Linked DNA regions of Caenorhabditis elegans. The protein of the gene in region 3 purifies or fractionates together with the protein of the main gene of each other region. This does not show direct contact. Each region holds a gene or a part of one and is shown on either strand. Other genes may lie near its edges. The genes, in order: siah-1, prp-8, rsr-2 and rbr-2.

What was found.
Region 1: the proteins of rsr-2 (region 3) and siah-1 purify together in Caenorhabditis elegans (affinity purification with mass spectrometry, with the first as the bait; one large-scale study listed by BioGRID). This does not show direct contact.
Region 2: the proteins of rsr-2 (region 3) and prp-8 purify together in Caenorhabditis elegans (affinity purification with mass spectrometry, with the first as the bait; one large-scale study listed by BioGRID). This does not show direct contact.
Region 4: the proteins of rsr-2 (region 3) and rbr-2 purify together in Caenorhabditis elegans (affinity purification with mass spectrometry, with the first as the bait; one large-scale study listed by BioGRID). This does not show direct contact.

Annotation. Positions count from the first base shown.
Region 1 is NC_003282.8:3,741,561-3,748,589, forward strand, and holds siah-1 (E3 ubiquitin-protein ligase siah-1), read left to right. Parts: upstream 1-2,487; 5' UTR 2,488-2,576; coding exon 2,577-2,763; intron 2,764-3,558; coding exon 3,559-3,720; intron 3,721-3,773; coding exon 3,774-4,007; intron 4,008-4,263; coding exon 4,264-4,839; intron 4,840-5,407; coding exon 5,408-5,462; intron 5,463-5,607; coding exon 5,608-5,653; 3' UTR 5,654-5,791; downstream 5,792-7,029. Other genes in the region: ugt-45 (glucuronosyltransferase), read right to left, coding at 6,731-7,029.
Region 2 is NC_003281.10:8,162,818-8,169,052, reverse strand, and holds the start of prp-8 (Pre-mRNA-splicing factor 8 homolog), read right to left. Parts: upstream 4,681-6,235; 5' UTR 4,677-4,680; coding exon 3,847-4,676; intron 3,793-3,846; coding exon 3,555-3,792; intron 3,514-3,554; exon of another isoform or gene 3,381-3,513; intron 3,355-3,380; coding exon 3,135-3,354; intron 3,063-3,134; coding exon 2,318-3,062; intron 2,270-2,317; coding exon 853-2,269; intron 840-852; exon of another isoform or gene 670-839; intron 622-669; coding exon 1-621. Other genes in the region: bath-42 (BTB and MATH domain-containing protein 42), read left to right, coding at 5,727-5,787, 5,842-6,110, 6,161-6,235. UniProt on the Caenorhabditis elegans protein: Functions as a scaffold that mediates the ordered assembly of spliceosomal proteins and snRNAs. Required for the assembly of the U4/U6-U5 tri-snRNP complex.
Region 3 is NC_003280.10:12,222,886-12,229,528, reverse strand, and holds rsr-2 (SRRM2 protein homolog rsr-2), read right to left. Parts: upstream 4,174-6,643; 5' UTR 4,172-4,173; coding exon 4,082-4,171; intron 3,934-4,081; coding exon 2,953-3,933; intron 2,513-2,952; coding exon 2,306-2,512; 3' UTR 1,321-2,305; downstream 1-1,320. Other genes in the region: sinh-1 (Stress-activated map kinase-interacting protein 1 homolog), read right to left, coding at 1-21, 1,007-1,210. UniProt on the Caenorhabditis elegans protein: Plays a role in pre-mRNA splicing as component of the spliceosome. Involved in modulating global transcription, probably acting via interaction with RNA polymerase II.
Region 4 is NC_003282.8:10,917,132-10,926,617, reverse strand, and holds the start of rbr-2 (Lysine-specific demethylase rbr-2), read right to left. Parts: upstream 6,549-9,486; 5' UTR 6,512-6,548; coding exon 6,368-6,511; intron 6,325-6,367; coding exon of another isoform or gene 6,318-6,324; coding exon 6,186-6,317; intron 5,927-6,185; coding exon 5,490-5,926; intron 5,262-5,489; coding exon 5,074-5,261; intron 5,025-5,073; coding exon 3,014-5,024; intron 2,851-3,013; coding exon 2,663-2,850; intron 2,617-2,662; coding exon 2,321-2,616; intron 1,890-2,320; coding exon 1,234-1,889; intron 1,189-1,233; coding exon 890-1,188; intron 511-889; coding exon 428-510; 3' UTR 1-427. Other genes in the region: ZK593.3 (High-affinity choline transporter 1-like), read right to left, coding at 9,053-9,333. UniProt on the Caenorhabditis elegans protein: Histone demethylase that specifically demethylates 'Lys-4' of histone H3, thereby playing a central role in histone code. Does not demethylate histone H3 'Lys-9', H3 'Lys-27', H3 'Lys-36', H3 'Lys-79' or H4 'Lys-20'.

The DNA.
Region 1 (7,029 bases), on a different chromosome or scaffold from region 3:
ATGAATAATAAGTAATACATATATAACAAACAATCAAACAGTGATAACTTATCAGAAGCTTTGCTAATCTTAAAATCGGCAACTAGTACAATGTTTAACGTGCCGTTATAAACATTGGAGAAATTTTTTGATACCTCTGATGCAGAGGTACAAAAGGAAACCCCTATAATTTTTCAATCATTTGACCAAATTTCACTAAAACGTTATTGGGCTTTCGTGGAATTTTTAAAAAGGGGTATTTTGGCACTTTCAAAATGTCGTAACTTGGTCGAACCTGCTCTGAAGATAAATTTTTTTGGAGTGATCATCTGTAACTATTCTCTATCGAATGTATATAGTGGCGTAATGAAGTCCGATAACGAGTTCAGAGCCTTCCCTTGTTAGGGCAAGAAACCCACAGACGCTGCCTCAACTTTGAATAATACCCACGCGGTGCCAGAGTGTCCCATATCGGTTTGATCTATGAGAATTGCAGGAATTTAGACGAAGACTTCCAAACTGATTTTGCATGGTGAAGAGCCTGCTGACGTCACATATTTCTTGGCTAAAAATTTCCGCATTTTTTTGTAGATCAAACCGATATGGGACAGCCTGATACCAACACAATATACCTAAAGCTTGCAAAGCTATCTCCAATGCTACTGAAATGCTAGTTGTAGCAACAAATAATCGTGTGCCTTATTGAGATTATTTCCTTCAGATAATTTCCTTACATTTCCTTATATGAATTTCAATAAAACGTCACTTTATTTTTTTATTATTATTGCTACATTCCCTATGCTGCCTCTCATCGACCACCGAGAGCACAAGCACCTGACCCGGGTACCAGTCACCCTAACAGCTGATCTTTCCATATGACCAACAGTGCATGACCATCAATTTTTGAAATTTTACTTTAAAAAGGTTATTGGTGCCTGATACGCCTTTCATATAAAATCGCTCTCACCATCCCTTCCCTCCAACCGTCTCTCTCTCTCTCTCTCTCTCTCTCTTCAAAAATCGATTTGATTCATTCTCATTCGCATGTCAGCTGGTAGAGAAACACAGAGACTCTCTTACAAGCCCACACATCTCGTCGTCGGTCTCTCTGTCGTCTCTTCCACCACCCACACTATCCCGGTCAGTCATTCGTTGGTGAAAAGATGTGAAAGAGAGAAAGAGAGAGAGAGAGTACGCACACAGAACGCGTTTTATTTCATATTTTTCTTCCTTTCGCCTCTTTTCTTCGTTTTATTCACTCTCTTATTCGTATTTCTATTGTGTATTTATGCAAAGTAATCGTCGAATTTGAGGGTTTTAATCCTTTTGTTAGGTTTTGAAAATATTATTTAGAGAAAGCTAAAAAAAAGCGAATAGTAAAGTTGTTTTCTTTTGCCAGATTTTGTTGTTGTTCTCTGCTTGCGACTTGATTTATAAAGTGTCTGTGTGGACAATAGAACCTTAAAATTGATACTTCCCGAAAAAATTACCACTTTCTTCATGGATTTCATCACTATTTCGTTTAAGATAACCATAATTTAACTTTTCAGTGATTTTTGTGAATGTATTACATTTTTTTTTGAATGTTTCAAATTTCCATTTTTAGAAAGTCACTTATTCAAATAGTTTGCAATCACGTTTTACTGAATCTAGTATCTATACTAGGTATTCAAGTTCATGAAAATCGGACCTTATCCCTTACTTATCTTATTGATTTTCCTAGCCCATCTCTCATCTTTTGTTCTTGATTGCATTGATTTTAGGCGATTATTTTCAAATTTTAATATAAAATTTTCAAAATTTCCTAGTAAATCTTTAATTAAAAAATTTGAGCCTCAGTTGTTTTTTTTGCACAACTTTCCCGGTAATTTACCGAAAATGAACATTTCCGACAAAACTGCAAACCGGCAAAAAATTTTCACAAACATTTTTCTGCAAATTGTGGTTTTCCACATTTTTTTCTGGAAATTTTAGAAATTTAATTTAAATTGGCAAAATTGTACGCATCCTATGAATGTTCCTACATCTATTTTGAAAAGTAAGCAAGTTCAATGAATGTATCTAAAGAAAACGGGAAAAAAAAACTTTCAAAATGACACTGTTTCAAGTGCTTCCGTCTTATTAAAAAATCCCTCTAAAAATTTCCGGCAAACGGCAAATCGGCAATTTGCCGGAAAAAAATTGCCACGTGGTGTCAAAGTGGCTCATTGCGGTTTGATCTACGTAGATCTACAAACTATGCGGGAGTTGAGACGAAGAGTTCCCAACTGATTTCAAATGGTTAACAATGTGCTGACGTCACATTTTTTGGGCGAAAAATTCCCGCATTTTTTGTAGATCAAATCGTAATGGGACCATGTGAGACCCCGTGCCACTCCTGATTCAACAAACCTATTCTAAAAACTTTACTCTCTTCGTAATTCCTCACAATTTGACCTCCAGCGACTATTTCTCACGTGACAACAACAAAACACTCACAATTCGTTATCACCAACTCACCAATTACAGAGACGACGGGAAGACGGCGGCATCCGCAGACACCGAACCACCCACCACCTCCAACATCGTCGTCCTCGTCATCTCGACTGCCTTCGCTGATGAGTAATCGGAACGGTGGTGGAGGAGGAGGAGACTATCAGGACGTGATCGAGTCTCTTCGTCGTACACAGCTCATCTTTGAGGAGGACGATAATAATAGTAGCGATTCGGCTCCGCAAGCGAATCATCTATCCAGACATCAGACTAGCAATTCTTTAGTCGAAGATATGGTTAATCACTCAAATGGTGAGACTTTTTTGAAAACTTTGAGTCTTGTTTGAAAGCCTGCTCATCCCCGAAACTTAGAAACGGCCCAAAATTAAAGAAAGGACTTAATTGTCCAACGGAATCAAGAGAGTCGGCTTTTGAATTTCTATTGAGTATTATTAATTGAGACATGATTAAAAGATCACTGTTTCAGCATTTCACTTGGTGCCAGAATGTCCTATTTCGGTTTGATCTACGTAGATCTACAAAAAATGCACGAGTTGAGACGCATAGTTCTCATTTTATTTGGCTTAAGAAAGTTTTACGCAAAAAAAGTCCGCGTTTTTTGTAGATCAAACCGTGATGGCAGGGGTTTTTTCTGACACCACGTGATTTTTCCGACACACCACTACCTTCAGCCAGCCAAACCTTTAAGCCGGAGCCCAAATCCCCTGCTTTCTCCAACCATGCGTGCTCACCAGTCATTAGTCCCCCCCCCCACATCCAAAACGACACCAATTAAAGTCACTCAACATTTCCTCTTTACTCCCACCCCCGAGAGAAAACTCGCTATTCTATCTCTGTGTTATAATCGACATATGCATCGTAAAGCGGTGTTTCGGAGCCCCTCCCTAGTTTTTATATACCTGCTGAAAACTCTCTCGGAGAGCTCGCTCGCTTCATGATGATCGCATTTTCCCCCACATGCGTTCTTGCTGCTGCGTAGTGAATGCGCTTATTATTGAGTGTATTGAAAATTGGCTCAATGAGCGAAGTAAGTGTGAAACTATATCTTGGAGCCCAGAACTAGCACCATTAAATTTTACTTTCCAGGCAACCCTCCACCGGTCCCGCCAGGCATCACACAACAGCAATGTCAAATCGGATTGACACCTCGGATGTCGGCATCGCCACCGTCTGCAGTGTCAACAATCTCTGGAACCGCAGTGCTTGGCAAAACGATGGCCAGAGTTCAGAGTAATCCCCCGGGAAGTAGTGAGTTTTTCTTGATTTTCAGAACTGTAACGCTAAAATGTAAAATTTTCCAGTACCGCACAACACAACGACGACCGCGCAAGGAATCCAAAGCGTCGCACCACATATTCCAATCGGCGGCGGTGGAGCCACCGACGACAGCAGTGCAGAGATCTTGTCGGTGTTTGAGTGCCCGGTATGCCTGGAGTACATGCTGCCACCATACATGCAGTGCTCATCCGGACATCTTGTCTGCTCGAACTGCAGACCAAAGCTTCAGTGCTGCCCGACTTGTCGGGGTCCAACTCGTGAGTTTTGAAGTTGAAATTTGAAAATTGCGTGACTAGAAGAGTTTAGTCAAAGCTGAAAAAATTACCACAGCTTGAGCAGAGCTGATATGATAGAAGACTAAGATCCTTTCTGGTTGATCGATCTGTCTCAGTCGAGCGCCTAAGCATTTTAGCTGTGTTGTTTCTCTAATGTAGCTAACGAATCAAGGATCTACGGATCTTCAAAGTTTCAGAGTATATCTCAAATTTCAAGACTAAACCTTCAATCTTACAGCTTCTGTCCGCAACCTGGGCCTCGAGAAGATCGCCAACACCGTCCGCTTTCCATGCAAATTCTCTACGTCCGGCTGCCCCCTGAACTTCCATCACGCTGATAAGACCGAGCACGAGGAGCTCTGCGAATTCCGACCCTACTGCTGCCCGTGCCCTGGAGCTAGCTGCAAGTGGCAGGGAGGCTTGTCGGATGTGATGGAGCATTTGAAGAAGATCCACAAGAGCATCACGACGCTTCAAGGCGAGGATATCGTCTTCCTGGCCACTGACATCAATCTTCCTGGAGCAGTTGACTGGGTTATGATGCAGAGCTGCTTTGACTATAATTTTATGTTGGTGCTCGAGAAGCAGGAAAAGTACGATCCAGCTCAGCCAACTCAGATGTTCTACGCAGTCGTTCAGCTGATTGGCTCGAAGAAGGAAGCTGATAACTTTGTGTACCGGCTTGAGCTATCGGCGAGCCGCCGGAGAATGTCATGGGAAGCCACACCGAGAAGCATCCACGAGGGGGTGGTAGTGGCCATTCAACAGTCGGATTGCCTAGCGTTCGATTCAAATGCTGCACAGCTTTTTGCAGGTGAGCATTGACTTTTGCTTTTATCTTAATCGGAAATTACCAATTTTTGTTAAAACTGAGCTTTCAATTTTTGTTAAAACTGAGCAAAAACAGCTTTTTTTGTGAGTTGACAATTTTTTTGGTAACTTTGTTAGACAAGGGATACAGCTGGAATAGTTGAGTGCATCATGGTGCATCGACCGAAATAGTTTTAACAGCCGATACCCCGGTTAAGTGTGTGAATGCTAACAAAAATGTAACCGCTAAACTATATAAAACACGAGAACAAATATTTTGTGAGTTGGAACTTTTTCGATAGAACCAGAAATCCAAAAAAATTAAGTTTCCTTTGAACATGGTGCATCGACCAAAAATTTCTAAGATTGATAAACTCGGTCAATTTTTGAAGATATTAACAAAGTGTCTATTAAAAAATAAAAATAAAAACCGAAATCCGCAGAGGTTTTTTTGAAAAGTTTTTAAAGTTGGGCGAGATATGGTGCATCGACCTTTAGTAGCAAAATTTTTGTCAGTTCCGGAATATAAACTTTAAAAGTTACCCTCAACAAAAATCAACTTTTTTTTTCAGAAAACGGAAACCTTGGAATCAACGTCACTATTAGCCGAATAGATACTCCACAGAGGTGAGAATTGTATTTAAAAACTTTAAATTCAAGTTTAAATGTTTGAAAATATTTAAAAATTACAAAAAAAACACATTTTTTCAATAAGCCAATTTTAATCTATTTAATTAAAAAAAAAAAAAACTAATAACTGATTTTTTTTCAGGCGCCACCCAAATGAGTTGGAAAATTCTGATCTCGAGTACGACTAGATATGCACAGTGTAAACGTAATAAAATTATTTTTGATTTTTTTCTTCAAAAATGTGATGAAAAGCTTAAAAAATTCAGTTGAAAATCCCCTTACAATCAGAACATTTTAAAAAATTTAAAAATTAAAAAAATTTTTTTTTTGGATTTTTTTTCTGAAAAAAAAACTATATTTTGTTCTAATTTTTTTTTATAATGTAGAATACCCCCCCCCCCCCCCCGCCCCCGCCTCAAAATATTAATTATCTGTATAGCATATCCTTCCATGACTCGGAATGGATAACCACAGAACACTACGGATTTTTTTTCAATTTTTTTTGGTTTATAAATTTCTTTTTTTTTGTATTTTACACTCGATTTACACATTTTACGAGCTTTCCTGTGTTGTTTTATCGATATTTTGTACTTTTTTTTTGTCTCTTGAACCACTTGCGTAATAGCCACATTTTTCTTTCCAATTTTTACGATTTTATACTTTAATCATGTTGAATAAATTTTTTTGAACTTTTTTTGATGGTTAATTGAAATTTTGGAGAAAAAACATTTTTTTTTTCAAAATTAAAGAAATTTAATTCATTCTCAGTTTTTTTTATTTGGAAAATTTGCATCATAACAATTTTTCACAATTTGAGTATTTTCAAAATTTATAACAGAGTGCAAATAAAATTTTAAATAATTTTTATAATTTTGATTTTATTTCAAAAACATTAAAATTAATTAAAATGAACAATTAAAATACCAAAAAAAATCTCTAAAATTTACAATTTGGAAATTAATTTCAAAATTCCGAAATTTTGCAAAATTTAACTGTCGAAATACAGAAATTGCGTTAAAATTTAGTCTGAAAATTTGAAGAAAAGACAAAAAAGAAACATTTCACATTTCTATCAATAGAATTTTAGAAAACTCGGAACTAAATCAGAAAAAAAAAGAATTATTTTTTAGTCAAACATTTCTTTTATTTCAGAATTTTCTGCTTTACAAAAACCAGGTTTTCATAATTCCATAAAGTTTTATTTCAAATTTCAAACCAAAAAAATGCACGAAATTTATACAACATCCCATCTCTCCCAGCGAATTCTACTCAGATTTCTCCTTATCTCCAGAGAAACCAAGTTTCGCGAGCAGGTGTCTAATCAACAGTACCGTCGAGACAATTGACAGAAAAAATATAAAAACTGCAATGATCACTAGATCCAAATTGAAATATTTCAAAAACGAGAATTCTTTTCCAGCAGACGTCCACCTGGGCATTTGCCCGAACCTTCCAGCCATCTCCACCGTATCAATGATCTTTTGCCGCGGGGAGAACCTCTCAGTGGCAAGGATCCGCGCGAGAAGTTCCGCCGATTTTTTGTATTCCGGATTCTCGAGCACTT
Region 2 (6,235 bases), on a different chromosome or scaffold from region 3:
CAATTGGTCTTCATCGTGACTCATTCCGGAACGGAAGTGAGTGACACCTCCAGCTTCCGTTTGTTGCATCCATCGAAGATCAGACTGTGGGATCAAGACGTGTCCCATAGATAGCATTCCAAGTCCTCCGATTTCTTTTGGCGTATAGAAAACAACTGGAGGGAATCTTGAGGGCATTTTTGAGTTGAGTCCAATCTTGATTCTCGTTTGAATTTTATTCTCACATTTCACCAATAAATCCAAAAGTTCTTGAGTGTTCACAACAGCTTCTCTGAAGTAGGTCATCAATCCGATCAATGCTGTATTCCATTTGTTGACAATTTTGGTGAACGTTGTAGATCCAGAAGACATCAAAATTTGACGAATTCTGTTATGGAATTTGGACAATGACTCCTCATCGACCTTCAAGAAGCACTGAGCAGTTCTTTCCTTTGTCACTTCGTTTTGAAGATTCCATACACCATCACGATGAACAAACTCTTCATTAGCCGTACGACACTTTGGTAGAATACGACACTCGAATCCGGACATGTCGAACAACATGTTCGGGTTATCCTTACTGTACACTGATACGAATGAATTTTCCCACTCGACAGTTGTGATGGAACGTGGGAGACGGTTCTGTAAAATAACAAATATTTAAAAATCAAAATAGTAAATTCTACATTTTAATGTACGCCTGTCAAGTAGACCTTATCATTCAAGTTAAATGATGGATCTGTTCATGAGGCGGATAATCGCTTAATTTCCATTAGTTTTCGAGGAATTATCAACGAGCAGCCATCGAATAATTGCTCGCTTTCTTATACCTCGTGTTAAAATTTTAAAAAAATAATTAAAAATAAAATTTACCTTGATATCCCAGAAGACAGCACGACCCAAATTGACATCATGTTTCATCAATCTCATTCTAGCGTCTCTTGGCCAACACTTTTTGTTGTTATAACCGACAATATTCTCATTATTCGGATCTGGATGCTCTGTCAAGTATCTTTGAATCAAATCACGTGCTTCATCAGCACTGAAACGGAACATGATCCAAACTCGGTCGATGTACCGGCAGTAGAGACGAATAGGGTGACCAATTTCTGTGGCAACATCCTGGAATTGCAAGAACTCGTTTGGACATTGGGGCGGACCGGCAATTTCGGAAGCTCGTCGAAGTCCAAGAACAAGAAGATCAAGAACTAATCCATAGAATTGAACAATAAACGAAGCAAATTGTAGACCACGAATAATTCCGAAAGAATTGGTGTGGTTCATATCCTTATAGTTGATGAGAACGTTGTTCTTCGAAGTCATGTAATCGGCAATATTGTGATCCACAATCAATCTGAGCAATCTATTGAGAAGTGTCAAATCCATTTTTTCAGCAATTTTCTCCAATTTTGTTTCCATGATGACATTACACTCTCCTTCACTTGTCTCCCAAACATCTTGAAGATTGTTGAGACCTTGACACCATTTGTATGTAAGAAGCGGTGGTGGTTCAGTATCTCCTGGTTTCACCCATGCCGGGAACAATCTTCTCTTGTCTGCTTCATACCAGAGGTATTGATCGAGGTAAGCGTCAGTGACTTTCTCAAGAGGCTCGATATCGTAGACTGGAATAAGATGAGTGTAGAGATCCATAAACTCAATTCCGACTTCTTTGAATGCACGCTGCGTGAGCATGTGTCTCTTGATACGAGACAAAGCTTCGTGAGGATTATCATAAGCCTGTTCAATTAAAGCCAGTTCTTCTCTTTGGGATTGATTCAATCTATTCTTCACACTGTAACTTTCCTTCAGTCTTTCAAGAGCCAAAATAAGAAGTTTTGTGTCGTGTTTGTAAGAAAGTGGTGGGAAAGGAATCGGAGAAAATCTTCTTGATTCCAGCCAATGTACTGTAGTCGTGTAAATTGCAACAGCTTCTTCTGCAGAGATATATGGTCCGTCCTTCAAGTAATTGTGTTGTCTTTCTTGCTCTGATTTCAGGTATAATCTTGTCAATCTACCCAAGTTCTTCTTGCACACAGTTTTGTCTACTGTCGCTCCTCGTCTTACACGTTCTCTGTTGTAATGTGCCGAATTAGTCCACCAATCAGCCTTTGCTTTCACATAACGTAGAATCATATTTTCAACTGGAGTTGGCAGTCCGGGAACCTTCCATGGAATATTAGCCTTCCAACATCTCCACGCCTCTGACAAATGCTGAAGAATAACACGAGCCTTATTTTGTTTGATTCCGTCCGGCATCATATCCAGAATGTCATGCATGACAGCAGCACTGAAAATATTAATAAATAAATTCGTTTTCTTGCCATTTAAAGCTTACCGTAATTCAAGATCGAAATGAGATTCAACTCTTTGCTTGGTGACTGTCTTGGCCACTCCCTTTGAATGTCTTCCTTCGAATTGTCGAGACAACAGATTTCCAAGCCATCTCTCGAGCAGTGGTGTGATTCCACGCAAGAAGAACAACCAAACTCTCCATCCCGGAGCCCAAAAACCACATCCAGGTCCTTTACCAACCGGCCCAGTGTTGAAACGATAGTAGATGAGATGCTTGAGATCCTTGCACATTCTGACTTGTCTCATGAGCTTGTACTTGTAACGATACATTCCGGTCAGTTGACCGACGTGAGCAAAGATATATTGTAGACCATCTGCAAGTTGGTACGCATCGACGTTGTTCAAACGATACTGAACATGGGCATCAACAACAAGTTTTGTGAGACGAAGGATTTCTCTGCACAAATGGAATGCATTTCCGAAACGAGATTTCTTTCTTTCCTTTGTTGTCAATGTTTTAACTGGTTTCAAATTGAAGTTGTAATCAAGATGAAGATAGTTGAGATTCTTTCGGTGAATGAGCAAATTGAGCATGTTGTATCCTTGACGAAGAACTTGCAATCCAGCTTCTACCCAATCCAGGGTGGTTGTTTGGAAGAATTTTGTTGCCTTGAAGGAACGGAACAGATAACGACGCTTCTGGGGCTTCGGTGGACGATGTTTGAGAGCGTTCAGAACAAACACCTTGAGCAGTTTCTGATAAGAAACACGAACTTTCACGGGCATTCCTGAAAAATTGAATATATTATTTCAGCTTAGTATGCGAGAAACGAAACGAAAAAAATAGAAACAAAACTAACCTGCTGGACAATGTTCTCTATACCACGATTTGACAAGTGGTACATCCACTGCTCTTCTCGTTCTTCCCGATCGAAGATTGAATGGCCGAGGGGCCCATAGAAGTGCTAAACCATTAGCCGTGTTATCGGTGTAGAGTGGAACGTCTTCAAAAATGGGTCGAACATCTTCAGGCAGCTCCCACTCGTCTTCCTCTTCACCTTCTGGTAGATTTTCTTCAGTCTGAAAATGTTTTGACATACAATACGAATTGTCTCCAGTTTTATTTCTAGATATCACCGACAAAAAGGATGATTTCTCGCCTTTAATGGAAAATTTATATTGCGAATTTCGGCTACTGACTACCTTGTAAATTTATAGGAATCTGTTTATAATATCCGCATTTTATTTTAAAACATTGCTGAAACTTGTAAATAACTCACTGCTTTCAAGTTGCTGAGAACGATTGGATTGATCAATGGATCATAGTAGAATGCGGGAAGATCTGGGTCTTCAGTTTTGATAAATACAACTGAAGGAGTATGATACCATGAAACTTGAACAGGCAGCGAGCTGATCAGATTGTTGTACATGAATGGGAATGCAATTCTGTACTCGGTACGAATTGGAGCTCGAATAATAACTTTATTGATATCATTGAACTCGTTCCAGTCTTCATCACTGAAAATAATAAAATAGTATGCGTCATAACACAACTGGAAGCTTTTCACTTACGTATGTAAATCTTTTACCAATGGTTCGAACTTCGGGCCTCCTGGAATTGCAACGTTGAGTGCTTTAGCAGTGAAGAAACTTTTCATGTCAAACAAGTAGAAGTAGTTATCATCTACTAAATCGGTAAGCAGCTGATTTGCAAGACGATACAATGTGGACATCTGTGGAATACTGAATGCCCATTTTCTGTACGTTGGGCCGTTCACAAATCGAGTTGTTGCAAGAGGCTTGTGATCGTAGAACCATTCAGCAACAGCTCCGTCTTCTTCTGGATCTAGTTCCATTTGAATTGGCTCTAAAGGCTCGACATCCAGAATATTATCAGCATAATCGAGAGGCGGTTCTTCATCGTCAAATGGAGGGAATCTCATTCGCTTGAAATGACGACGATCACGTTTTTCTCTTCTCATCATAATCCACATCGTTCCCCATTGTGCCATGTAGACCGGCTCGATGACACGCGGAATGTCGTTGACAAAAGTGATCGCACCGGTGATGTGATACAGAACTTTTACATCTCTGATTTGTTCCCAGGGCATCGGCATGTTCTCCAGTAGCTTCAAAACGGCATGTGGCATATATTTCAAAGCACCGAGGTAGACTCTTTTATCATGACGATATTTGCGAGAAGTCATATCACCATGATCTCTGATAACTTTTCGGACGTGCTCAGGTGGCATTTCTTCTTTCTGCGTATCGGACATTCCAAACTTCTTTTTCTCCGAATACCGCTTTCCTTGAAGTTGTTTCCATTTTCGAGACTTTTCTTCCAGAATTGAATCCGGGATAGCATGTGGTTCAGTTTGGGGATGACCGCCGTAGTTGGCCATACCTATAACACACTATATAAAAATAGAATTAAAACTAATCAATGAGTTGACGAGCAAGGAAAAATAAGTATTACTGTAGAGAAACTGGAAAGAGAGATTTGTCTTTGTTTAGACTGTAAGATCACATGAATTGATAGTTGGAATTGTGCATTACAGTTAATAGCGCACAAAATTTACATTAAAAAACGGAATTTATTCAGACTGAACCAGAAAATCATGAATAAAAACCGATAATTTCTATTTTCGAAAGTAAAATTTAAATTTCCTTAAATCTAAACAACGCGCGCAATTGTGTCGAGTGGAGCGTCGTACTTAGATCTGCAGGTGTTTGAGGTTACGGTGCCCGGTAATTCAAACACTCTTCGGCGTAATGTTTCGATCAATAGACCCGCCTCTTCTTGGCAGCCATTATTTGCGTTCGCGTTCGCCGCCGCCGAGGAAAGACATCTGCCCGAAAAAATTTATTGATTTTTCGAAAACTTATTGGCATTTTCTATTGCCCTCAGAATCTGAGTAAAGCTTCTGAATTGCAACTTTTCCTTTTTCAAGTCATGTGACTGGGGTAATATCATTTTTTCGAAACTGTTCCGAATTTTGTACAAATATCAATTTTTCGAAAAGGAAATTATTTCCAAACTGTCATTGTTACCCATTTTATATTGAAATGTACCACATTTATTCCTCATAGACGAGTTCATGAAGATCTCCTTTTGAAAACTTTAAAAACTGTCCAACTTAAAAAAAAGGTAGTATTTTCGAATATCAAACGGCGATTTCGTAATTTTAATACTTTTCTAATATGTGTAATTTTTCGTAGATCGGTTTCGAAAATCGTATTGCTTATTTCGTAACTCTAACAAAGAACTCCTGCTTTTCGTAAATAATTCATTCGCGGAGTTTCCCAGTTGTTGTGTCTTTTTGAATTTAATCATTTTCTTTTATTTTTATCGAGATTATCGGGAATAGCTTTCTTTTAATTGAATTTATTTTCAGAATAACCTCTTGCTCGCTCAACTTATCAACAGAGGTAAAACTTATTCGCAATATAATATGTCTTCACGTTCCTCGTGGTCATCCACGGAGCAGATTAATCGCACAATCAGTTCCAGAGGTTAGTGAGAATAGCTCAATTAATTTGAGAGTTTAACATTATTTTCATTTTCAGCTGACGATCTTCCTCCACAACCTCGCCGTCTAGAAGTAGTTTCGAAGCAAGCAACGCGTGTGACGGCACTTTCTACAAAATTGGAATGGAAAATCGAACAATTTGAGAAATTGATGAAACTAATCAAAAACGGTTCGAATCTTATTTCAAGAATGTTTAGTGTCCCTGATGCGCCAACAGTTTGCTGGGAACTTCATGTGTATCCAAATGGAAAGCGTGATGAAGATGTGAATAATGTATCGTTTTTCTTGAGACAAGTTGGATTAGCCGTAAGTTTCATTCATATTTTCTATATATAAAATATAAAAACCTTTTTCAGAGAGGAGAGGAGCCCATCATGACAGAATTTCAAATTTATGCTCTCGATGCTAATAATCAAAGAGTCAGTGTATGC
Region 3 (6,643 bases):
GGGCTCCTCGTAGAGTGGAATCTGAAGGTTTTTTGAAATTTTTTTTTTTTTTTGAATTGAGAAAAAAAAATTTTCGAATTAAAAATTTTTTTTTTATTAAACTATTTTAACTATTATCACTGTATTGGGCTTGCCGAGAGCTTTCAAATAAGCCCCATATTGCCTATGCTCAGCTTATTTTGTACTTTTTTTGGGTCCCACCACGAAAGCCTACAGTAACCCGGAGATTTTCGTGGTGGGACCCAATTTTTTTAATTTTTCAAAATTTCGAGCGAAATTTGAAAGTTTTATAATTTTGCAATTTAAACTTGTTTTTTTTTAATTCGGGGAAACATTTTTTGATAAAATATTTTTTTAATTTCGAAAAAAAAAATTTTTGAATTTTTTTACCGATTTTATTGGAAAAAAACTATTTTTTAGCGAAAAAAAAATAAAAATTTTGGAAATTTTCGGCAGAAAATGTTGGAAATATTTTTTTTTAATTCCGGAAAAAAATTAGTTTTTTAAATTATTTTTTTCTGCAATTTTACAACAATTTTTACCTTTTTTATTGGAAAAAATTATAAAAATTGTGATTTTTGGCAAAGAGCGCTGAAAATATGAAAAAAAAAGAAAAAAAAATTCCGGAAAAAAATTGTTTTTTTTTTAATTTTTTTCTGAAATTTTTATAAAATTTCACCGATTTTATTGGAAAAAACACTTTTCTGGAGAGAAAAAAATTTAAAATCGTGAAAATTTTTGGCAGAAAGTGCTGAAAATCTGCAATTTTTAACAGAAAATTCCGGAAAAAAATAGTTTTTTTTTGAAAATTCTGAATTTTTACTGTAATATTTTTCAATTTAAGCTTTTTTAAAATTTAAAATTTATTTATTTTAATTTTTTTTACCGTTTTCAGTGAAAAAATATTTTTTTTAAACAAAAAATATATAAAATATTTGGCAGAAAAAGCTGAAAGTGCTTTTTTTTTTAATTCCGGAAAACATTTTTTCCAAAATCCCCGCCGAACCTCATAAATATCATCAAATCCCGCATCCCCATCATCCATCAAATCCCCATTTTTCAGTCTAAAATCCAGCGGAAGACCTCCGGCACGACATTTCCTGTCTGGATTCAGGAGAAGCCGAGAGCAAAGTCCCGGACCATCATCGTCCTCGAGCCGAAGCTCATGTCGAATTACGTTGAGAAGATCCTCGCGGTCCACGTGGCCCATTTCACTGGAAATGTCTGAAAATTTTGAGCATCGGAGATGGAGGGGGGGGGGGGGGAAATCATGATATTTCCAACTGTCTTCAGACAGAAAAAAAGACGAAAAATCCCAGTTTTCAGGAGATTCTTCATGTACAGCGTTTGGGGGAAAACAAGTAGCAAAAAGAAATAAAGAAATTTGCTCTTTGGAGCACAAAAGATCGGGAATGAACGGGGAAAATAGTAGCAGAAAATCTAGATTTTTCAGAAAAAATTGATTAAATTTGACGGGAAAATCGGGAAATTTCCAGAAAAAAAAACTGGCTGAAAGTCTGGAATTTCCAAACAAATTTGTCTGAAAATAAACTAAAAATTCGGGAAATTCGAGCTTTTTTCGGAAAAATTAGGCTGAAAATCGAAAAGAATTTCTAAAAAAAAATTAGCAGAAAATAGTGATTTTTCAGAAAAAAAAATTGATTAAATTTGAACGAAATTTAATTATTTTTCCGGATTTTTAGAGAAAATACATTAAATTTGGCGTAAAATTCGCTAATTTCCAACTTTTTTTCCGGAAAAATTATTAAAATTTGACTGAAAATCGAGGGATTTTTAGAAAAATTATCCTAAAATCCCGATTTTTTAAAGAAAAAATCGATAAAATTTGAATGAAAAAAAAATGTTTCCGGATTTTCAGAGAAAAATCAATAAAATGGACACAAAATTTGCCAATTTCCAACTTTTTTTCGGAAAAATTATTTAAATTTGACTGAGAATGAAGGACTTTCCAGAAAAATTAGCTGAAAATCTAGCTTTATCAGAAAATTTGACTGAAAATTGAGAAAACTCAAAAATTTCCGAGAAAAATACATTAAATTTGATGTAAAATTTACTAATTTCCAACTTTTTTTCCGAAAAAATTAATAAAATTTGACTTGAAAACCCAGAAAATGTGGTTTTTTAGGCAAAAATCAATGAAAATTTTCAACTTTTTCTTGATTTTCACACAAAAAAAATCCAAAAAAAACCTTTAAATCCAGATTTTCCAGCCATTTTTTCGGCTCAAAACATAAATTTAAATGATTTTTAAATTAAAAAAAAATAAATAAAACACAAGAAAAAATTATTCCGAATCCGAAGAAGAATCCGACGATGACGATGAATCGGACGACGAGTCAGAATCCGAGGAGCCCGAAGAGCTTTCTGACGATGATTTTCGAGATTTTTCCACTTTTTCGGCGGATTTTTCAACACGAATCGGTGCCAAATTGGTTTTTGCGATATAATCTTCAGAATCACTTGGTGGCTCTTGTTTCACTTCGAGTTCGTCCTGAAAAATGAATAAATTTTAGGATTTTTTGGCGAAAAAAATATTAAAATTTTCACATTTTTCAACGAAAAAAACCTAATTTTTGCAGATTTACCCGCTGAAATAAGTTTTTTTTTTCCTGAAAAATTGAATTTTTCAGTATTTTTATTGTAAAAATATTTTAATTTTCTCGTTTTTCCTGTGAAAACTTCAAAATTGACTTTTTTTAAAAGTTTTTCGAGAAATTTTTAAAAAATTTTCTCAGTTTTGACCGGCAAAAACTCCAAATTTTTACGGTTTTTTTGAAAAAAAATTGCATTTTTTGGTAATTTTTCAGGAAAAAATTAAAATTTCCCCGTTATTTTCGTTATTCTCATGCAAAATTTCAAAATTTTCGCATTTTCCCGATTAAAACTCGAGTTTTCCGCAATTTTTCGCCAAAAAATCTCGAATTTCCATACCATTCTCGATTTTTTCGACGCGGTGGCAGTGGATCTTCTCTCATTTTCCGACGAATCGTGTCGCCGACGTCGCTCATCCCGGCGTTGTGGTGACTTCCGACGCTCGACACTTGGGGATCGCTGCTGGCGGCGACGTTCCGGCGATCTTCTGCGAACTGTACGATCTTCAGGGGATCTCCGACGCTCTCGAGGATCCTCGGGGGATCTTCTGCGATCTCTACGATCTTCCCGTTGATCCTGTCGCTCCACCGATCTTCTGCGATCTTCCCGAGGCTTCCTCTGATCTTTCCGGCTGTCTTCCTCATCACTGGACTCTGCTGGTTCTTCTTTCTTCACCTTATCCGACACCGCCAAAAGCTCCCGTTCCTTCTGCCGAAGCTTCTCCCGACGTTTCTCCATCTCCTTCAGCTTCTGCTTCTTCTCCTTCTTCTTACGATCCTTACGATGCTTCTCGTCTTCACTGGAGGATTCTGATGAGCTACTGCTACTGCTACTACTACTGCTGGATTCCTGCTTCTTCTTCGATTTTCTATGCAGACGAAGTGTCTCGAGAAGCTTCTCCTTATCATCTTTTTGTGGAAGTTCCGACTCCATCGCAGCTCCAACCACATCCGACTTGTTCATCTTGGCCATCGAGCTTCCCGGCACGTAATCCTCGCCCAATCCCAACGCATTTCGCATTTTATCCCGATTATTCGCGGCGGCGCGACGTCTGGCGTGTGATTCCTTGGTGCTCAGCTCCTCGTCGACGTTAAGCTCGCCGGATTCGAGCTGTTTCAGCAGATTTTTACGATATTCGCCGACTTTTCGCTCGATATCCTCGTCGTCGAGGCCCTTGTCCTCTAGGAGCATCTCAAATTCGGTGCATTTCACCTCGATTTGACGTTTTCTGTTGTGATCCATGATTTCCTCGTTGGGCTTTCGATTGAGCTCGGCTTCCATTTTGCGCAGGTCATCTTCGCCGTTGTACTCGATTTTTCGCTGAAAATATGATTAATTAGCATCATTTTACGATTTTTAGTGCGTTTAGCATAGAGAAAAGCAAGTAATTTGCTTTAAATTTGTTTTTTATTTCGATTTTTCGCTGAAAATCTCCAGCAAAAATCAGTATTTTCCCCGGAATACTCACTCTCGCTTGCATAAGATGCGACAAATTCGACTGCACATATCCATTGGTTCCCGATCCACGGGCGGTTTGAAGTCCGATTCCATTGTACATGGCTGAAATTGGAAAATAATTAAAAATATGAAAAGAGACGGCGTTTTCGGTGATTTTAGGCAATTTTAAGCAAATTTTCCCATACAAAAATTAAATTTCAAGGATTTTATGCAAAAATTTCAATTAAAAATCGATTAAAAACAATTTTCCCAGCTGAAATTAAGAGAAAACGATGTAGAAAAACAATTCGAAAATAAATCGTGTTTAAAGGCGCATGGCGTCGCCACTCGCGTAGGTCTCACCACGAAAACCGATTTAGCAGTGCGGAGACGGCAGCGAGCAAAGAGCCTTTTTCCTCGATTTTCAGCGATTTTTCGCCAATTTTACTGTAATTTTTGTAAATTTTCTACACAAATATACAACAAAAATACCCGGAAACACGTGAGTAATCAGAAAAATCATTTTGACCCACTTGAAACCTCCAAAAATCGATTTTTAGCCAAGTGTCGCGCCCGTCAAATATTGATCGGCTTATGGACTCTTGTTTTTAATCATTCTTCTTTATTTTCAGCTTCACGATGTGCTTTTATTGCAGAATTATCATCTATTGTTTCGAAATCTCCGCGAAAAATCGATATTTCGTTGGTGGGAAACGTGTTTTCGCATCCACCCGCGCTTTTCCATTATTGTTTTGCTTCATTCTTGTTTCCTCTGATATTTGCTGGATTCCATCACTGTTTCGCTGTTTTTTCTAGTAGCAGGTCTGTAGAATATATCTGAACATCTGGTAAATTTCTTACGGTTTGTTCGTTTTTCTTGGAGAAATTTCTACCCAATGTGCTATTAGACACGAATTGGCTCCAAAACTACTCAATAAAGTTGCCGGAGTTGTTCCGAAACCGATCAATTTTCTTATAATGCACGAAATGTGAAGCTTTTCCATCATGTCACCTAAAATTTGTCGCAATTGCAGAGCCCGCCGTTTTTCTGCTAAAATAATTGTTCAAAGTTCAATTCTCCCCATCAATATTTTTAAATACTGATGCTTGAAGAAAACCATGATTTCTTTGAAATCGGTCTTCTGGACGTTTCTATGGAGATTTTTATCGAATTTCTTGCGAATCTATATTCTAAATGCCTATTTCTTCACAGTTTTTCCACTCCCAGAGCCAATTTCTTAGGATTTCACTGGAAAATCCTTATGCAACGTATTGTATGACGTATGTTCTCGGAATCTATATGGGTGTAAACGGTCAACAAAGACCAACGCACTGAAGGATTATAGGTTCTCGTTGAACTCGATTTTTTGGTTTTTTGAGTACTATTTCCAGTACCAAAACGAAATTCCTTGGTGTGTTTGTCGCTGAAGAAAAATGAGAAGAAGATACCGTAATCGTTTTCCGCCATCTCTATCCGTTCCTTCGTCCTTGCCACTACTTTTTTCCCCATCTTGTGGCCAGTCTCAGACAGTCAGCCGATCCATTCTTTCCACGACGACGACGACTCCTTTTATAACAACCATTCGAGAATCAATCCAATTCGCGAAATTGGGGTTTTTGATCCGCCCGCCGCTGTCACCTACACAGGTTTTTCGCCTTACTTCGTTCAAATGAGCGAGAACTTGAGGGGGGAAATGAGAAATTCTCATTTTTTGGAATTTTTGTGCAAAAGTGTCGCATTTTTTCAACAAAATATCCCAGTTTTTCCAATTCTCGGGGATTTTCTACGGTCACAATACGGCATATTTATATGAAAATTACGCCCGGAGGTTTTCCTATGTCACGGCCAGAAATAGTCGAATCATTGATTATATTTTTCTGAGAACGGCAGGAAATTCTGGAAAAGAGTACATGATTTGAATTTCCTCATTAGGAAAATGCAAGATTCCTTGGAAGATTCAATTTTAATACTACGGCAGTGTCCATTTTTCCGTTGTTCTCGCTTTAAATCATATTCAAGTGGTGGCAGGTTGTCCCATCACGGTTTGATCTACAAAAAATTGCGAACTCTGCGGCTTTTCTCCCGCATTTTTTGTAGATCTACGTAGATCAAACCGAAATGAGACACTCTGATACCAGGTGCATATTTCGGTTTTGTTGTTCCTAAATCCTTAAAATACAGGATGTAGGGAGGCACGGTCGCCTTTTTCCAATTTTTTTTGGGAATTTTGTTAGATGCCGAGAAATGGTGTCGGTTTTTCGATTTTTGGAAAATAAAAACTATATAAAAAAAATCATATTTTGGTTAATTTTCTGAGCATTTTTAGTTTTTTATCGAAAATTTTCGATTTTTTATAATTCGAAAAATCGAAATTATTCGTTTTTCGACTTCAAATCTTAAGATTTTCCCTCAAAAAAAAAAAATTTTTTTTTTGTTAAAAAATCTTAAGTTTTTTTTTCAAAAATGTCGAAAAATTAAGTTTCTCCACATGATCGTACGATTCACAGGACCCTCGATGATGCAACTACTACTACTACTTCTGCAGCTACTGCTGCTGGCGGCTACTTGATCGATTTCCGACGTGTCTTCTTC
Region 4 (9,486 bases), on a different chromosome or scaffold from region 3:
ACCGAACATGAGGCAAAGGGATATTAGAAATTGTAAAAAACAGTCAATGGTGGAAATGGATTAGGGTGAAAAAACCCGAAGCGAGATTCAACAGAGGAAACTAAAAAACTTTGGAGAGAGAAAGGTTGCGCGATGAAAAGAAGAAGAATGCAATGAAAGGAAAGAAGCTGTGGTAAAGTTTGGTGGTTTTGAAATACGGTACATTTTCTGAATTTCAGGAGAAAGCTTATAGTGTTGAGAACGATTAAAGTAAAGAGGAAAATGATGGAGATGAAAATCCAGAGTAGCTGGAATTACAGAGAATAAAGAGAGTGGCTAGATATGACAGTAATCTGATGAAAATGGTTAGGGTTGATGTGAAAAGATGAACGTATTATATAAATTTAATTAGAAAATATGATACTGGTGAAGCAATATATAATCTGGTTCAATCGGTGGAAACACTCGAAGTTGGAGAGTCCGCATGATCCAGACAGGATGAGCAACGGTACTCGTGCATGTCATTAATTTCTGAAAAAAAATTGTTAAATTAGCAAATACGCAAAATTGAACAAATATGGTAGCCGGTCTCGACACGGCAATTTTTTTTACTTGCAAAAAAGTTGTGTGCCTTTAAAGAGTAAATAAAAACGCGGAAGTTTTTAAAATTTTTTAAAGTTTTACGACAATGAAATCCCACAGAAACGAGAGTTGGTAACTACAGTATACTTTTTGAAGGCGCACACCCGTTTGTGTTTCACAAAAATTGTCGTGTCGAGACCGGGTACCGTATTTTTGGCACAAAGTTTTTTTTTGAGATCAGGTCTGTCACAAAACAAAGGTTCGTTTTTTTTTCTCCTTACAATTAAATTTTTTTTCCAAAAAACCACAAAACCCGATCTTAATTTACCTCTCAGAGTGAATCCAAGACAAATCACATGGAACCAGTTTTTGCAGCCTGCTTCACACATCACCCAGTTCACTGAGTCTCCATATGGCTTCAAACAGGCGCGAGCTTGACACGACTTGAATTCAGACTCGTCTTCGTAATATTCACTGGGTGATGCTTGACTTTGACGTTTGCGTGATTTTTTCGACGTCTCTTTGTGTGAAACACTTGGCCTTTTGCGTTTAGCTGTGATTTTTGGATCGAAGAGTGATACCGATGGTTTTGAACGAACCGGGCGATTTTTGAGTTCTAGTGCGGCGCTGAAAAAATTAAAAATAAAATTAATACATATAATGTGTACAAACCTTGACTGTTTTTGAAGATATTCCATATAAAATTCTGAAATCAGCTCGCGTGCCTTCGGAAGACCATTGGGATTCAGAATTTCACACGATAGCCAATCGAATAAGGCAATTTTACAAATATCGTCGCTGGATTCTCCTGATTTCCGTTTATTAGCAGCTTCCATCAAATTTTGAGTGATTCCACGAGTTTTTTGTATTAGATTTCGAACAAGATGTGTTTCCAAACATCCAGAAGGTGTTCCATTCAGAGCAGTTGTTACATCATCAATGACTGGACGTTGTCCCCGTAGACATCGAACACATAAAAAGCATCCTTCTGGAAGTTTTTCAAGGAACGGTGACCACTCGCAACATCGAACATGAAACTCTGAATCGCACATTATGCATGTCAGTGTTGATTCGGAATCATCTGATTTGTTGAATCCAAGACATGAGCATGCTTCAAGACCACGAGCTGAATTTGCTTGTTTCACCTTTTCAAAAATTCTCATTTGCATTTCACGTAGCGATGATTGATGATGCACAATTTGATCTAATGACTCGAATTCTTTCATTTGATGCCATTCATCAGATGGATGTACTGCGCCTCCTTGAAAATATAATGGTATCGTTTGTCCTTCAGCAAGTGGAGTTAAATCATCGCGTTCGGAGAGAATCTGGAAAATTCAAGTTTAAGGCAAATTAGATCGAAGCTAATGTCTATGCTACTTCCTGATTGGATTAATGTTACCCAAATATACGGTCACCGGTCTCGACACGAAATTTTTTCGTTTAATTTAAAAAGGTGCGCGCCTTTAAAGATACTGTAATTTCAAATTTTTGGTTCTGCGAAATTTTCCTTGATTTTTCTTTTTTTTTCTTAGTATTTGTCTCATGTTTTTAATTATTTCAACATAGTTTTTTATTAAATAAATAAATTTATAACGAAAACTATGAAAAATCTATGAAAATTCCGCAGTAACGAAATTATGAAGCTACAGTAATCTTTAAAGGCGCACATTCGTTTGTATTTAACTAAAATTGTCGTGTCGAGACCGGGTACCGTATTTTTTGCGAAAAATCGTCAAATTTCACGAATCTCACTCACTTCAAAAAGATTGTGATACGCATTATTTGGCTTGAACAGAATAGCTATCCTCTGAGTAAATGCATTCATTGTGCTGATCATATCCAAAATCCCGAGATGCTCTTCGGAACCGTTTAGACATTTTGAAGTTTCGAATGCTTTACTGATTTCGGCCGCCTTCGATAGTGTAATTTCAACATTGACAATTTTCTGCAGTTGTGTTTTTAAATCAAATTCTGATAGCACGGGAATTGCGGCATCTATCATTGACTTGATTTTGGCAACATGAATGATCTCATAGCGAACCATGTTAATATCTTAAAAATTATTTTGTAAGAATTACTAATGCATTAAATAACAAACATTTTTCATAGAACCAATCAGTTTCTCTAAGGCTTTGCCAAATTGATTGAAGCTGATCAAGTGCTGGATTCTCACAGAAATTGTTTGCAATGACCTCGAGTGTATTGGCGTCACGGAGCATTTGTTGAAGTTCAAAGACGAGTTTAGAAGTACCATCTGTGGGATTTCGTGGACTATCACGAATCAATCTGAAACATATAATTGAATTTTTGAATTAAAGGGGTATAGAGTATTTGGAAATATTTTTAAGGTCTCATCATGAAATTCGGTCGTTTTGGGCCGAGCCCATTCGAGGAAAAATCCACAAACACAAATTTCCTTTTAAGAGAAAAAATATTTTTAAAATCTTACGATAAAATATCACTGGATGCATATCGAAGCTTATACTCAAAATCAATATCTTTCTCCATATCGGGAGTTGCCTTCCATGTAGTAACTTTTCTTGCTCTATCCGACCAATCCTTCATTTGAATAACTTTTCGCAACTCATCGATTTCTTCCAATTTAATATCATATTCATCTCCCTCTTCAATAATCTTCTCGATTTCTTCTTTTGAGTATTCTTGTTCTCGATAGATAGCATCTTTTGCTCTGTTTCTCCACATTTCAACTTGTTCCATCCATTTCTCAAGTTTATCAATAATAACAGTCAAATTGCAATCCATGGCTTGCATTTGTTCAATCAATGACCGTACTCCCTCGGTGTCTGTACGAGTGTCGGCTCTCTGACATCGGGTTTTTGTTCGCGTTCGTACTTTCTTAAAGAGCAATTGATTTGCTTTTTCAATGGCACTCTTGGCTGTATGACGAATTGTTATCAATTTATGAACTTGATCTGTCTGTGGATACTTGTTTTGTTTGGCAGAATCTATAAACTCTTCAATTCTCTCGAGTTTTGGTTTTCCTTCTTCTTCAAGCATCTCATCCGACTCTTCTTTCCATCCATTGTAGTTAACCGTACGCTTTCCAAGTTCATCACACATATTGTTCAATTGATCCAACTCGAATCTGTACTGATATCTGTAGTCTTTCGTTGTACACGAATTGCAAAGATGATCATGATGTTCAACACAAGTCATTTTCTTGTGTTTGTTACAAACCAATGCACACATGAAGAGAGTCGTCTTACAAAAACGACACGATCTTTGTTCATCTGGAATCTTTTCGAACATCACTTGCTGCATTTGGCGATTGGAAACTCCGAGGCGAGCGAGAAGTTCTCTCAACATTTTTTGTTTTTCATATATTCTTATCAGTTCTTCATGTGTTGCTAAACTCATCGAAATTCCAAGTTTATCCATTGCTTCAACCATTTTAAAGAGAAGCTCATCATGAGAAAATACAAGATATCTTCGTACATTTGAGTAAGACTCAACGCATTCTCGACCTTTTGATAGCCAATCAATTGGAGCGAAATTGACAGCTTCCGCAAAGTTGAGTCCCTCATTGAAACCAGCATGATAAGCACGTGGGAATGTAATGACGAATTCACCAGCATTCTGGTGAACTGAATGAATTGGAACTCCCAATGAACGAAGAAGATGAGGATTTGCAGCTGTAGTCATATGATGGAATAGATCTCTTTGTCTTCCAGTTAATCCAGGTGCTATTTTCTTCAATGCATCTTCAAACTTTTCAGCATCTTCTCCACCAACACCGTACCAAATTTTCCGTTCTCCAAAATGATTATAGTTAACAGAATACGTCCAATGATCTTCGGTGTGCCAGCAGAACGTCGAGAAGCACATACCAACATAGACCCACGGTACCATCATTCCAGAAATTCCAGTATTAAAATGTGAGAGAACAGATTCTCGAAGTACAGGCATATTGTTCAGATTCCATGCATGTGAAGCGTATTGCTGCTTCAGCTTCAGATCTGGGCCAGTGTGCTTATCTTCTTTTCGAGGAAATCCACTTCCTACTCGACTCGTAATCAAGTCGGCACCGTATTTGACAGAAACTGGATTTTCGTGTGAAATTACATTCTTCCAGAATGATCGTTCCACAGCATCACACGACACTTGTGATACATCTTTTACACCGAAATAATCACATTTCCATTTGTTGGCAAATTCAGTGAATGAGTTCAGATTGTATTCTGTGTCCGCATCATAAAATCCCCAGTCTAATCCGATTTTTGCATCCTCTGATTCAATGCACTTTGGACATCTCCACTCGCCTTCTGGTACTTCATCGAGTACTGGATCACAACAATATGTATGACGACCATTATTGCATCCATCAATATCGCAAAGAAGTAGTAGATCTTCATCCTTTCCTTCATTACAAGCAACGCAGAATACTTGATCCATTGGATCTTCATCATCATCATCGTCTCCTTCGGCTTTCTTCTTATTTTCTGTAATTTGTGAAAATAAATTTAAAAAATTTAAATTTAAAAAACGAACTTCTTCCTCTGGTTGAATTCTTCTTTGAAGATGTTCCAAGAGTCTTTCTTGAAGATGAAGCCTTCTTATTTTTAGATCTCCGTCGACCACTTTGCATCGACACTGGACACTCATCTTCCCCTCCTTCAGTAGTTTTATCATTTGGAACTTCTATTTCTGTCCGCATAGTTCCGTGGTGATGTTGATATCTATGAAATTCATTCGTTTTTAATTAGAATAATGGGGGAAATTATTAATAACAAAATTAAAAATTTTACTATTTATCGGTTTTAACATTTTTTCATGGTTCTAAAAAACAAAAACATGGGTACATAAGAAAAATTTAAAATGCATATAATTTCAAAAAAATCCATCTACATTATGTTTTCTTAACTGATTTGTAGATTTTTATTTATTTAAATTTCTTAATTACTCACTTATGCTTTAATTCTTCCATTTCATCATCACTTTCATCATCATTTTTCATCGCTTTTTCTTTCAAATTTCGATTAAATGGTTCAATGTGCAAATTATAATGTGATCGAATCAAATTTATGAAAGCCGACGGAACACCGCGAGCCATTTGCTCCTTTGGAAGGTATTCGCGGGCAACGTCTCTCCATTTTTCATCTTCATTCACTTCTTCACATCCTCCAAAGTTTTGAACTATACGATGTAATCGATACAAATCGACAATATTTCCATCTCGATCCACTGGAAACTCAAAAGTTAGACCAGAATATCGATTGAAATTGATTAATCGGTCAATAAATGTGTGTTTCTCTTTGACAATTGCCTCCACTTCATTCAGTTTTTGAGTTCGGGGACGAAATGTAAAGGCTTCTTTGTCGATAGCAAACGGTGGTTTGAAATTCTGCAAAAAAAGAGAGTTGATGCTTCTCGATTCGTTTTTTGAGGGAAAAATCAAAAATTTTCAGATAAAATTGCACTTTTCAAGTGGTGACCATTCTTTTAGTAAACTGAAAATTTTCTAATATTTAGTATTTAATTGAAGGGAGTAGTAGAAGTTTTTAAACTACTACAAACATTGTTTCGCTTTTTTTCAGACTTTTCAAAAACGATTAAAAACTTGTTAAACGTCAGACGTACAATTTTCCGAATAAATAACTTACCGCCGGCGGAACAATTTTAACAACTCCAAATTTTTCGGCCTCGTGTCGTATTTTGGCAACATACTCGATTGGATCTGAGAACTCTTCTTCTGTCGGGTAGTAAATTGGAGCCATTGGAGGTCGTACGAATTTCTGAAAACTATGAAAGCTTATTCACCTTATGTATGTCTTAGTAATCAAACCTTATAGAATTGATCGTACATTTCCATTTTGCTTCCATGATTCTTAGATCTTGAATTTCCGATGGATGCTTTCTTCCGCGGAGAAGTGCTCGTCGACGGTGCTGACGGCGTCGAGATACTGTTCTCTTGACGACGTGCACGCATTTTTCAGTTTGGCTTATAGCTTCATGAGATCTGTAAATTTCATTTTTGTTTGACTTTAATATTAATTGAAATTAAAAGCTTTGAGAAGAAGAACATTTTAAGTACCGACGAGAAATTTCCATGTGATGAAACAAGATGCATCACGAGTGTTATGATAGACGTCATAGAAACCCGGAAATGAAAATTAGCTTATACTCCTTTAAAATTGGCTTTTAAGCTTTTTCTTATTAAGCTTTTGATTTGAACTTAATATTGTATAAATAATTAAGCTGAAAAATGACTCATATTTAAATATATATATTTCTCCAATTTTTGAGGTCGAGCAGCTTTTCAAAGTTTAGACAAGGATCTTTGGTAGAGTTTTAAATGTAGGTCAAGACACGTAAGGCATCGTATAGTAACTCAAATCATTGAAAACTCCATCTCTCTGAATCTTTTTGATGTGTCACCTAAAATGCATTGAGAGACTGGTATTCTTTGACCACTTTGCAGTAGGTCGGTGTCCTTTTCGTCAGAAATTGCGTGCGGTAAAGATAAGCGGAGAAACAGAAAAAAATATAGATAAAATCGAAAAACCGAGAGGAAATAGCCCCCAGCGCCCACCAGGGTCGGCCCACGAAAATCGAGGAAAGTGCGCTCCGCCGAACATTACTCTCGAGTGTCCACTCTCGTCGTCTTGTCACTCCTCTGTTTGCATGCTATTCGCTAGCAATAATCTCTCGGTCTCCTGCCCAATCACACTTTATTCATGTTATGTGCGCGACGCGTTCTCGCATGTGCCTCCTAGTAATACGTGAATTTTTGCACTAACTTTTTTTTGAGGCCAGCAGCTGAGGAAAGATGGGCGCACACAAAGAAAACGAAGAGAAAGCAGGAAGACGCATGTAAAATGAACACAGACTGAGAGAAAAAGAGAACATGGAATTATGGCTCCGAGAGCCAGCATTTTTAATTGAAGATTTGAGACTGTGTTTGTTTACTACGGTTTTAAAGGGAGGCGTATCAATGCGGAATGGTCTCGCCACGCACTGCGAACTCATGAAAAAATTGGCGTGTGCGCCTTTAAGATGACTGTAGAGATTTTTCTGGCATGTCTAATTACATAAAATACAGAAAATTGGGAAAAGAACAATCGAAAATGAAGAAAAGGGAGAAACGAGAAAATTGGAGATTTGCCAGCAAACCCTCTACAGTAATCTTAAAGGCGCACATACCAGATTTCTGAAAAAAAAATCGCAGAGCGTGGCGAGACCATTCCGCATAAACTCGCCACTTTAAAATCATAGAAGTTGTAAAAAGTACACAGTAATATGTAGAAACTGATTTCGCCGAATTGTGAATCTCCATAGTTTCTAAGGAATGTGAATATTATTTTTCAAAACTAAATCAAACTCATTAAAAAGTTATTATGCGCCCGTTTTGAAATAAACGATGGTTGCGCGCGAGAGAATGAGAAGACATAGATTATAACTGCAAAAGCAGAATCAGCTGTCTGCGTGTGAAGAAGCTGATTAAAAACGAAAGGGCGAAAAAGACTTGTTTCACACGACTACACACATTCTTACGACAAATAGACGAAACGGAGGGAGAATCAGAAGTTTATGACCGAACGCTGAAGACGTGTAATCACAGACGTGGTTAGAAAGTGAGGCTGAACGCGGAACTTAAAGCGAAAATGTGTAACATATTGAACAGTGCACGATTTTCAGATGTTCAGAGCATTCGTTTGACAGTTAACAATTTTTCTAAGATAAATCGTTAATAAAATATATAACTTTTTCACACAAAGATTACTGTATTCCGAGAAGATATCAGTGTCCATCTGACTGAATTTTTCAAAAAACTTCTTCTAAATATACACTAACAGCTCTCACCGCGAACCGGAGGACCTTAAAATCGCTGCCGCTCCACCAAAAAAACATACGAATAAGCAGCATATGACTACAGTAACCCATTCCTGGACATATATAACTTTTCTTCTCCTTTTTGAAGATTTATCTCTTAGCTACTCAGACTTTCCTGAATAATTTTCAAGAATTCCCAGTCAATTTCGAGCAAAGAAAAAGATTTCGAGGGATGAATGCCGAGAAAATAAATAGAGATTATTGCAATATAACAGTAAATGAGCTACTGTAAGTTAAAATGTTGAATTTCTAGCCGAATTTTTCTGAAATGGAAATGCTATACGAGCAGGCGTTTTCGCATATTCAGAATCTAATCAGAAAGTGTTCGTGCAAAAACAAAAAGAACAGCTGTCGGGTTGCCATGGAGTTTAACCATACACACCAGAGAATGTTGGCTTCAACTCTAAAATAGACAATTATGTTTAGTTTATGAGGGTTTAATATTGATATACATATCCAATAGTAAAATATGAAAAGAGTCAATAAAATATATAGTTTTATAGTTTAGTACCTTAATTACAAGAAAAACCAGAATGTGAAAATGAGGCATAAAATACAAGTTTGAAATCTTTGATAAAATCACTCGAGTTTGAGTCAATTTGACTAAAATAAGCATTTAGAAACACGAAAAGTATTGTTAGATCATTTCTTGTTCTCTGAACTTCTTCTCATCGACAAGTGGAAGAATTTGGTAGACAGCGGTTCTCTCAGTTTCTTGCTTCTTTCTATAATCGACATACTCCATTGCGTAGGCAATAATGAGCATTGAAACAATAGTGACAATAGCGACAGTTGGATATCCAGTCTCCACAGACATGTATGAAAGAGAACACATAAACATTCCAAACCAGACACGTGGATTTATGACTGCAAGTGGAGTTGAGCCAAGTTCCATGAGGAAGAATACGTTGACATCATCTGAAATTCAGTAGTTAATGCCAGATTAGGAAAATTATTTTATGTAGGCAAAACATATCTGTCTACTTGTCTGTATAGAGCAAACTTAACCGGCATATGCTACAGCGCTATAATTAAAAAAAAGGAGTTTACTCCAAAATCTCGGCATTTAGG